Saccharomyces cerevisiae S288C: one gene and its partners. Changing the gene in region 1 together with any one later gene gives a genetic interaction. Each region holds a gene or a part of one and is shown on either strand. Other genes may lie near its edges. The genes, in order: LEU9, INO1 and CYB2.

Region 1 (3,756 bases):
TAGTAGCATGATTATTGATGTCCTTTATGTAGGAAAGATTTATGAAAGATGCCGCTTGGGTTGCAGAACCAGAACCCAAGGAATGTTCAGAGTAGTTTTGAACGCTCAACTTAACATTCAGTAAATTGGATAGCGCATCCACCAAAGAAGAGATAGGACCATTTCCGTAGCCTTCGATGTTGACAACCTTATCGTTGATTTCTACCTGGCCCACTAAAGCTCTACGCTCTGGGTTCAATTTCTTAACTTCGTAATTCAACAAGGTGACGTATATATGTTCATTGTTGTTGTAGTTGTAAGTTTCTTTGAACAATTTTGTAATCTCTTCGGATTTTAACTCTCTTCCTAAGGCATCTGCATTTTTCTGTAGAGTATTGGAGAAATCAACTTGCATTGGTCTTGGTACATCTAATCCTAGAGATCTCATAATAACCCAAGCAGCACCACCCTTACCGGATTGAGAGTTGACTCTGATGACGGCTTCGTAATCACGTCCAATATCCTTTGGATCCAATGGTAAGTATGGAATTCTCCACCGAGTTTCTCCTTGAGCCTGTTTCTTGTTTTGGATTGCAAATCCCTTCTTAATTGCATCCTGATGAGAACCAGAAAAGGCAGAAACAACCAATTCACCGCCATATGGGGCTCTTGGGGGAATTGGAATCTTGTTACAGCGATGGACAATTTCAGAAATTGAAGTTAAATCTGAGAAATCTAAATTAGGAGAAACACCTTGGGTATACATATTCATGGCAACTGTAACCAAATCAACATTACCTGTACGTTCACCATTACCAAATAGACAACCTTCTACACGATCAGCGCCTGCAAGCATACCTAATTCTGTGGCGGCGACACCGCAACCACGGTCATTGTGACAATGCGTAGAAATACAGACCTTCTCACGCTCAGTAATGTGGGTAGAGAAGTACTCAATTTGATCAGCGTAAACATTTGGAGAGGCAACTTCTACAGTAGCTGGTAAGTTGAAAATGATCGGATTTTCCTCGGTAGGTTCCCAAGCCTTTTTAACAGCTTCACAAATTTCTACAGCAAATTCACCTGGCGTATCACTGAAACATTCGGGAGAAAACTCATAGGACCAACGAGTAGCTTGCTGGGAAGGGTCATCCTTGGTTAGTTTCCTAACCAGTTTGGTGGCTTCTACAGCTTTAGAAATAGCTTCCTCTCTAGACATATTGAAGACAATTTCTCGGAACATGTCACTTGTGGCCAAGTAAGTATGTATGGTAGCCCTTTTAGCACCAGTCAATGCTTCCACGGTTCTTTTAATCAAGTGTTCTCTAGATTGGACAAGACATTGAATACCAACATCATCTGGAGCGTTTTCTACAGCATACCTGGTGAAGTCGAAATCTGTTTGAGATGCAGAGGGGAAAGACACTTCGATTTCTTTGAAACCGATGTTGATCAACTTGTGGAAATATTCTTTCTTTTGAGCCACAGACATTGGGTCCGGTAAAGATTGATTACCGTCCCTCAAGTCAGTAGACAGCCAACGTGGAGCCTTTTGAATAGTTTTGTCAGGCCAAATCCTCTTGACCATTTTTGGTGGAGCAAACGCCCTATATTTTACCGATGGGTCCCGTAGCATATTTTTATAAGTCAGTTTGACGGGTGGGATAGACCTTCTTAGTTTACTAGCATGCTCAGCTAGCGCTATGAACGAATGTTTTACCATGGCTACGCGGCTAAATGATAATGTGCCGATAGTATTATCCTAAGGAGAAGACCCTTATAAGCCGAAAACAAGGATTGTGATTTCGTGGAGTAAAGTAAGGCATTATTGAAATTTAACAGCTAACTTCCAATCAAGCCAGTAAGAGGCAAAACTATGTTGTAGTTGTGATTCTGGACATCGTTTTTAATTTTTTTTTTTTTTTTTTTTTTTTTTTTCATTTTTTGGCAAGGCCGAAAGAGATGGAAAAATATGAGTCATTCACTACGACCGTTACCGGACCATGATGGCGCGCGGCACCAAAATAGACGAATGAAGTATATAACAAGCGCCATGCAGAAGGAAGAGCTAACATTAATTACTATACAGATAAATGTTTAGTGTTTGAATATGACAACATATAAAAGAAGACTGTGCCCAATGCTCTTATTTTAAATGCCTGTGAAATAATTATATGCAGTGTCATGTACGTAAAATTAAATAAAAACTAAAGTTACAAACAATATGAGCGTGATGAAATGAAGTAAATTGTGTGAAATGAATTAATATGAAACGAGGGAACTAGCCAGAAAAGCGGATTTTCTATCGTTGTTCTACTTAATCAAAGTTCTAATCTTGATTAACTGATATCATGCAAATTTAGCTTTTTAAAGCCGTTTTCAACGCTTTTTTCATTTTTACCGATCGCTTTATTGGGTAATGGCGATGAGGATGAAGATATTTGTGTCTCCACAGATGATGAAGAGGCTATCTTTGTTGATGACTGTTTTGTCCTTTCAAACGGTTTTGAACATTGCTGTTATAATGGCTACAAATGACGCCTGAAGGCTGTTTGAAAGATTTCCGTTTTTTAACAAAGTTAAGTTTTTGCAATAAACCTTTCCCCGAGTTGAGAATTCCTGTATTTTGCGGTTTTTGCAGATTTCTAGTGCTGGTATTCTTGTAGGTCGAGCTGGTAGTGTTGAGTGAGGAAGAGGACTCGCTTGGCCGAGAAGTGCGATCGCTGCATTGCGACTCATTGGTCGTGTTTGCAGACGTTTCTTGAATGATAGTTGACAAACCATTGATATCAGGCTTCTTAAGATACGAATTTCTATCTTCAGAAATATCCTCCACGCCTAATGACGAAAAAGAAGTTGTAGACTCGTTTTTGAGATCTTGTTCCGTAGCAGAGTCATTGTGGGCATATGTGGCGGAGTACTTTTTCTCATTAACAGAACTCACAAATCGGTGATACCCGTCCATTAATAGGCCCATCACATGGCTAATGGCACACAGGACGTCTACGTCGGCAGGTACTTCATTGTTAGCAAAGCACTTCTCAAATATCTCCCTAGTATCCTGTGAAAAGTTGCATTCTTTGGGGGAGTCCACGGCAATGTATTTTATGTACAACGACTTGTTCCAAACTTCCAAGAGCTTCTCCTCGCTAATACTCCTGTTTTGCTTAAGCTGGAGGAACTGATGAGCTTTTTCGAAAAATTCTAAATTTTCCTCACAATGAGCTCTTTTTAGAAATTTGTAAAACTTTTGTATTGTGTAAGGAGAACGCATCCGTTCGTGATGCCCTTTTCGCAGTTGAATCAGCACTGTATTGCTACTTTCAGCATCGCCGTCGCTGCGACTATTCTTTTCTAGCGGTATCAGTATGTCGCATAGACTTGGTACACTCGCCATCTGGCATGTGCTGAATTTTCTTCGTTTTATGTATCAAAGGTGCCTTACCTAAGATGTTTTGATATTTATATAGCCAATGTAATATTTTTTTTTTCTTCTCTTTCCTTGCCTCGTCGCTTGAGTTGTTTGCTTTTAGTGATCACCGTTGACTTTGTAAAAATCCGTTTAGTCAATTTTGGCAACTGGTTCAAGCAATGTGCAACGGAAATGGTATAGATGTGATGTGGTATAATATGTTATTAATTTGATTACTAGCGCCTTAACTATCTTTATTCAGCAAGTTTTTTTTTCATCTCCACAAAGGGACGTTTACAAAGGGTATCCCGAAAGAGATACTACATGACGACGTCATATATACGTATATCTCAAGAAAAGAATTG
Region 2 (3,756 bases), on another chromosome or scaffold:
ATATATTAACTTCACTGGGCCTTGTTGAGTGGTCGCACATACACCACCTTCTTTTTTTTTTTCTCTCTTTTCTTCTCTTTACTGAGGTGGCCCTTGAATAAATACAGCACTTTCTCGCATCTACCTCAACTGAAAAAAAAAAAAAAAAATAAAAAACGCCCCTTTAAGACGAAGTGACAAAGAGGCAATAGTTCAAAAGAAAAAAAAAAAATATAAAGACTGTTGATAGTTGAATTTTTATAAACGTTATGTTAAGTATATGTATTGATGGAAGGGATAATAGGATAATGGTGAATGTCTTGTTTTTTTATAGGTAGGCGGAAAAAGAAAAAGAGAGTCGTTGAAATGAGATTACAACAATCTCTCTTCGAATCTTAGTTCGTTTTGAGAAGGCAATCCAATCAACAATCTTAAAAAATTTTCTAAGGCGGTTCTTTGCTTGTTTAAGCCATTCACCGGGTGAAATCCTGGTCTTGTTAATGGAGCTTTTAACCAGTAACTCAAGAAGGTTAAAACTGGATAAAAGTTCTCGAATTTGCCAGCATCTTCTTTAACTGGGTCCACCTTCTTATAGGACACTCTTGTACAAAACTCAGTCATGACTAAAAGATCGATGATCAAGGGCGTAGCCAGTAAAGAATCTTCGCAAACATTGTGAATGGAAATCCGGTTATGGCCACCTAACATCAACTCACTGTAATACTCGTCCATTGCCACTTTTGAGTCCCCGACGGGCTTCATATATTTGATGACAATGCAGTGGTCAACTTTTTTACCCAGTTTATCATTGTACAAGATATCATTAGACGCGATGATGTCATCTATGACAGAACTTTTGGAAATCTCCTTAGACCTAAATTGTTTTGGAGCAGATAAGTTATAACCGTCATTATTGCCTAAATGGTTATAGGATGCAATGGAGACCGGTTTAATACCTGCATCCACTAAGAACTGGGCCAGAACAGACTTCAACTTGGTTTGTCCCGACTTGAGATCGTCTCCCGCAATGAATGTACCCTCATGCTCAGCCAGCTGAACCAAGCCGGGAACAAAAGTATTCTGCGGTGAACCATTAATATAGGGGACACCTTCCAAGATAGATGCTGCTGCAAAGATCGTGGAAGGAGCAATCTCTTCATGGTCATTCTTAATAGACTGCAAGAGGTTTTCCATGGTGTCATTAACACCAGGAGATACTTCTACGTACCTCTCAGTATTTGCAGTCCAAAGAACGATTACTTTATCAAGGGCGTTTTCTTCTTTGAAATTCTGGATATCGCGTCTGATGCGTTGCAGATGGGTCCACTTACCCCTCGTGGTTACGTTGCCTTTTTCATCCAAATTGATGCAGTTATTGGCTCTCTCATCTTGATTAGCTGCAATGAAATCAGGGTAGTAAATGGAAGGAAGAGGCTTCACCAAGGACATCTTCGCCTTCAAGCGTTGTTGCAGATCATATTCGAGAACTTGACTTCTCTGCATAGCTTCGTATAGATCTGCGTTATTGATGTCCCAACCAGAGACGACAAAGTCGTTTGGGCTAACCATGGGCAACAGAGAGTTAAAAGGAGCATAAACGTCATTCCCCTCCGCATCGATACCCAGTTTCAAGGTAGAACATTGAGTCATGGAGCCGAAGTAGTTTGGTTGCTTAACGCCTTCCTTAGTTTGAAACTCCACATTGTGCTTATTCGCCAATACCGAGGCCACTAAAGTGGAGCCATTGTTGCCACCTAACCCAATGAGCATAATTCCTAGTTTTTCCGGCTTTTTCAAGTCAAGTTTGAACACGTAGTCTTGAACAGTGGGCGTTACATCGAAGCGGCCACTAGCTGTCTTCGTAACTACAGCATTTTCGTAGCTGTACTTGGTGAGCAGCTCGTTGTCCTTGTACGTGCACTTGTCGGTAACTACTTTAACGGAGGTGATTGGAGCAATATTATCTTCTGTCATTGTTACTTCTTTTTCACTGGAAAAAAAAGGGAATGAAACAGAATAAATCAAGGATAAAACTAACATTAGGAACCCGACAACAGAACAAGCCAAAAAAAGGTGACGAAAGCTCCAATTTATATACGTCTCAAATTAACATTGCCGCCAACGCAGAGGTGCGCTTTCTCTGCTCCATGTGAATTAAATAAGTTCAATATTCTGGGAAAGAAGGATGAAGATAAAATAGACAATACTTTTCACATGCCGCATTTAGCCGCCGAAGCGCATACTTGGCCTCCGCATATTTCACATTCAACACTTTCGATTCCGCATCCAACCCCGGAACACCGGCACGTATTTCATAAAAAGGACGTGAAGAACAAAAGGAACGAAGAAAAAGGCAATAATTTACTCTATGTGTTATTTAGAACTACGGTGATAAAGAGCTCGTTCCGATCACTAAGTACGGCCGGAAGAGAGCTGTTGTTTGTTGTCCATCAAGGGCACATCGGCACCGGCCTCATCGTCTTCATCATATGCTGGAGGCTGTGCTTGAGATTCCTCTGCAGGGTGAGCTTCCAGGTCACGGTCTACGGCGGGCGCAGTCGCATGTCTGCGTGAAAGATCGTACGAACGTTCACTACTCGTTTCATATACAACGTAGCAAGCGTGAATGATTGCTGGGAAGAATAACAGTAGGAAGAGAAGTAAGTTCAATAGTGTATCCCTGTTGAACATACCCTTACGCTTCCAGACGGCCACTGGGGGAATGAAAACCGCCAAAACCATTAACAACAAGTCGTCCTTGTTGATGGAATAGCTCATTCGATGGTCATGGTCATTAATATGGTCTCTGTCCATTTCTAAATTATATTTGGTTGTTTGCTTTCTGCTGGGTTTTTATTTTTTAACCTAGCCCCTTTCCTGCAGCTGGCTCATTCGTGCTGTACTCTCTTTCCTTTATATACTAGTGAGACCTTTTCCCCCGTTCCCAAAAAGAAAAAAAAAAAAAAAAAAAGAAAACGAGCCTTCATCACGTGCATTAAAGAAATAGTAATCCCAACGCACTCATCCGCTATATACATAGCGAAAAACTATATGCCCACTTCACAAATACGAGTTTGCATGTATAATATATAAGATTTATAAATGTTGTAGGGTGAATGTAAACGTTCAGTAATATACCGGTATATCTATCAAGATACGATCAATGCAACGCTTTACTGCACTGCACTACACCCCTTTTCCTCTACTTGTTTTTCTTAGTTCCTATTTCCCTCTCAAAATGCACCTGTTCACCAGAGTATTCTTTCTCATTGCAAGTATTACCCTACTTTATCGTCCCACACAAAGAGGAATATATATAGATTATAAGCGAATTGTAGATTTCGATGGAGATCTGATTTCCGTGCAAAATATCCAGGACGTCTATACACAGTGTTTACAACTCAGCTTATATTCATATCATGCCATTTCAAGATTATTTTCAGAAGAAAAAAGCAGCGTTCATTAACAGAAACAATAAAAGTAACGCAGATGCTTCAGCGCTACGAGATATTAACGATATTAACATAAATTTCGCCGCCAAGAGCAAAAACTACGTGTTCCCGCTAACAAAGCTCCCCGATGAGCTCATGCAAGAAGTATTCTCTCATTTGCCGCAACCAGACCGCTTGCAGCTTTGCCTTGTGAACAAAAGGTTGAATAAGATCGCTACCAAACTGCTTTATAGAAGAATATATTTGAACGACTCAAATGTAGTGAAGAGTGACTTCATGCATCTCGCAATTAATTGGACCCTACTGAACTTGCCGTCTTCGTTGA
Region 3 (3,756 bases), on another chromosome or scaffold:
AGGCTTCAATTCCGCAATGCTAGTAACACCTAATAGTCTCATAGACATTTCAATTTCATCTCTTAAAATTTCAATGGCTTTTTCAACACCATTACGACCATAGCATGAGTTCGCATACAAGAATGGTCTACCCAAACCAACACCTTTAGCACCTAGACATAACGCTTTCAAGACATCTGTACCACGACGAACACCACCGTCCACGAAAACTTCCAACTTATCCTTCAAGTTACGTTGTTCCAGGATTGGCATGGTTTCAGCCAGGACTTCAATGGGAGCCCTTGAAAAATCTAATTGTCTACCACCATGATTGGATAGAACCACCCCACTTACACCGATTTCTGCTGCTTTGATAACATCTTCGGTACGTTGAACACCTTTGATAACAATAGGTAGTTTTGTCTTTTTCTTCAACTCTTCTATATCTTTCCAAGTCAAAGAGGGGTCAATAAACTTTGATAACGCTCTCGAAGCACCTTGAGATTCTTCTACATTAGTTTTCTTCATCGCTTTTGGACCAGCCTTTGTATTGGAAAATTTCAGCTTCATATCTTTTTCTCTTTGACCTAAACTTGGAGCATCCACAGTGACAAATAATGCCTTTACACCCAGCTTTTCTACATTTTTAACCAAATCATCAGTGATCTTTCTATCAGAGTTAACATATAGTTGGTACCATTGAATTTGTTTATCAGAGGGTGCTGCTTCAATAATTTCCTCAGGGGAACATGAAGCCAAAGTAGATATCATTTGTGGGACTTTTGTCACACCTTGGCCACAACCTCTGGCGACATCTTTTTCACCTTCTAAGGGGTTTCCCAGTTTACACAAAGCTGTAGCAGACACGTAGAAGGGAACATCCACATGAGAACCCAACATGTCAGTTGAAATGTCTACTTTGCGTACATCTACAAGGATCTTTGGTTTGAAAAAAATCCTATGATAAGCATTATGGTTTTCTCTGTGAGTAACTTCGTCGTTAGCACCGGAGGAATAGTAGGCCCACGCTTGTTTAGTCAAAGTTTGAGAGGCCAAGTATTCAAAGTCGTAAAGGTTAATAATATTATCTAGAGGAGGTAGCAGCGATTTTAGTTGTTCTTTTCTAGCGATATCTTCCTTAGTTTCACCAGGAGCATAAGGAGGACAGACAAGTTCAGGAGGCATGGATCCTTGAAGGGGACCCAATTTTTTCTCGGGAGCTATATACTTATCGATGACATTAGGAGCATGTAGTGGTTCAAAAATAGCAGTGACATCTTTCCCGGCGTTAAACTTGATAACATCCTGCCCACCTGGATGATTTGGTAGGAATCGCGTTAAGTCGTATACGTAACCATTGATCACAACCCAACAATCATCGGGCTTGTTATGCTTGGCAACTTCAGCGGGCGAAATCTTTTGTTTATTCATATCCAGTTTCGGCTCGTTGTCTATTTGGCCATTATGCCAGTTTAGATACGCCACGGAACTAGTAGCGGCTAGAATTGCACCGACTCTCAAGGCAGTCCATGACTGTGTGCGTTTTCTTGAGTCTTGTTCGAACGACTTGGATTTTGGAACGGTAGAACCGTACGCGCGGATTGTGTTCAATCTAGTCTTAGACGCTCTGAGGATAGCAGCCTCACAGTTCTTCGAGATTTTTAGTAAAGGTTTGTATTTTAGCATTGACTACTTTTGTTTGCTTTCTTCTCTATGCGGGAACTGTATTAGCGACATAGGATGTAAGAATACGAAAAGATGCAAGAAGATTAGTCGACCAGGTACTTATATATTCACATACTCCAACTGAAAGTATTGGAGATCTAAGGTTCAGCAGTTGGTTCTTGGCGGTTCTTGTATGACATTATTATTGGTCGGGTCGTAGTTCTCTCGAACAGGAGGAGGGGGCAAGGAGATATCGGCAGGCTTTTTGCTAGCGCCTTGTTTGAAAAGCGTGGGGGTAGGTCTCCAAGCGATTATTGAGGAAGTAGTTTCAAGTATTACAGAGTCCAGGGCACAAGGGTCTTCATTATAGAGAGAGAATTTTCGTGAAAAAAATGGGCAGAATGCCACATGTTAGCAATGCAACGACTTGAGTGGGGGGTGATCCTTCCGATGTATGCGTGAAAGATCTCGTGTTGTGCAGGAAAGGGAATCATTTCGGAAAAAAAAGATGCAACAAGGAGGATGGCATGTGGATACTACGTTCTTGCGTAATATCCTTTTTGTTGCCTGTGTTAATACGTGAGCAACATTTTTTGTTAAAGTAGGCGATCAACTATTGCCCCCTGATATTGGTAGTAATTCTGCTAAAATATCGGCTGAGAAATGGTGATTCTCAAATAATTGCTGGGATTCCACTGGATATGGCCCCATTCTTAGATATATGGAACGTAGTAGAAGGCCTCTTAGAGGCTATGGGAGTCTCTCAAGAGAAAATCGACATTTTTACGTAATCATTCGTTCATTTCACTTTATACGTCATGATTCAATATCGTATTACTTTATCAAGTACCCGCGTTTAAACTTCATTAAATGACTGCGTCTCAATCTTTATGTCATCCTCCCTCCGCAAGTGACAATGTACTGGTAAAATAAAAACTAACTAACTAGATGATATTTTTAGAGTTTTATTCCAACGTTTCTCAATAGGCGATGGAGGAACAGAGTGAATATAAGAGGCTCTGTGGATTTATGGTTACCGGATTTATTTCGTAAATTCTTATTGAAGAATGGGTGAATTTTGAGATAATCGTTGGGATTCCATTTTTAATAAGGCAATAATATTAGGTATGTAGAATGTACTAGAAGTTCTCCTCGAGGATTTAGGAATCCATAAAAGGGAATCTGCAATTCTACACAATTCTATAAATATTATTATCATCATTTTATATGTTAATATTCATTGATCCTATTACATTATCAATCCTTGCGTTTCAGCTTCCACTAATTTAGATGACTATTTCTCATCATTTGCGTCATCTTCTAACACCGTATATGATAATATACTAGTAACGTAAATACTAGTTAGTAGATGATAGTTGATTTTTATTCCAACACTTATATTCTATATATCCATAACATTGTCTACATATAATCCGAGAGGTTACGACAACATTCATATAATAAGGGTAGTACTGACACTTTATTTTGAAGTAAATCAAAATAGTCACTCTCGGTAGCCAAGTTGGTTTAAGGCGCAAGACTGTAATTTACCACTACGAAATCTTGAGATCGGGCGTTCGACTCGCCCCCGGGAGATATTTTTTTTCCCTTTTTCTCCAGGCCTAGTGAGGTTTGAGTTTTGAACGTTTTATAGATAGATGTAAGGTAGCCAGAATGAGCACTTAGCCTTTAAAGTAAATTGAGTAGAGATACGTAAACAGTCGTGATAAATATGTAATACATTGTATTATTTTAAATAGGTTAAATTTTCTTTTTTTTTTTTCCATTTCATTTTCATTTTCATTTCCTGCAGTTATTTTTTTTCTTATTAATCTATATCCATGTAATCGTTAGCGATATTGTTGTTAGTCAACGCGGCCATGGCAGTACCGGGTGCTTGTGATGCAATTATACTTTGGGATGGTAGAAGATGATACTGGTGTTGTATAATACTAGCACTTCCAGTAGGACTCGTGCCTGTTATGTCGCGATTAGTGTTACCGAAATAACCATGAATCATGTACTCTTCTGTTTCAGAATAAAATTCAGATTCGTTCAGTAAGCGGCTGTTCATAGTGTGGTGCATACTAACCGGTTTCAGGGGACATATTT

What was found.
Region 2: mutations in LEU9 (region 1) and INO1 together harm fitness more than expected from each alone (negative genetic interaction), as found in Saccharomyces cerevisiae (one large-scale study listed by BioGRID).
Region 3: mutations in LEU9 (region 1) and CYB2 together harm fitness more than expected from each alone (negative genetic interaction), as found in Saccharomyces cerevisiae (one large-scale study listed by BioGRID).

What each region holds. Positions count from the first base shown.
Region 1 is NC_001147.6:520,973-524,728, reverse strand, and holds the start of LEU9 (2-isopropylmalate synthase LEU9), read right to left. Parts: upstream 1,703-3,756; coding exon 1-1,702. Other genes in the region: GTPase-activating protein RGS2, read right to left, coding at 2,447-3,376. UniProt on the Saccharomyces cerevisiae protein: Catalyzes the condensation of the acetyl group of acetyl-CoA with 3-methyl-2-oxobutanoate (2-oxoisovalerate) to form 3-carboxy-3-hydroxy-4-methylpentanoate (2-isopropylmalate). Redundant to LEU4, responsible for about 20% of alpha-IPMS activity.
Region 2 is NC_001142.9:133,981-137,736, forward strand, and holds INO1 (inositol-3-phosphate synthase INO1), read right to left. Parts: upstream 1,954-3,756; coding exon 352-1,953; downstream 1-351. Other genes in the region: SNA3 (Sna3p), read right to left, coding at 2,392-2,793; SCF ubiquitin ligase complex subunit DAS1, read left to right, coding at 3,399-3,756. UniProt on the Saccharomyces cerevisiae protein: Key enzyme in myo-inositol biosynthesis pathway that catalyzes the conversion of glucose 6-phosphate to 1-myo-inositol 1-phosphate in a NAD-dependent manner. Rate-limiting enzyme in the synthesis of all inositol-containing compounds.
Region 3 is NC_001145.3:165,644-169,399, forward strand, and holds the start of CYB2 (L-lactate dehydrogenase (cytochrome)), read right to left. Parts: upstream 1,666-3,756; coding exon 1-1,665. Other genes in the region: YML054C-A (uncharacterized protein), read right to left, coding at 1,980-2,138; YML053C (uncharacterized protein), read right to left, coding at 3,473-3,756. UniProt on the Saccharomyces cerevisiae protein: Catalyzes the oxidation of (S)-lactate (L-lactate) to pyruvate with subsequent transfer of electrons to cytochrome c. Is involved in the utilization of (S)-lactate as a sole source of carbon for growth.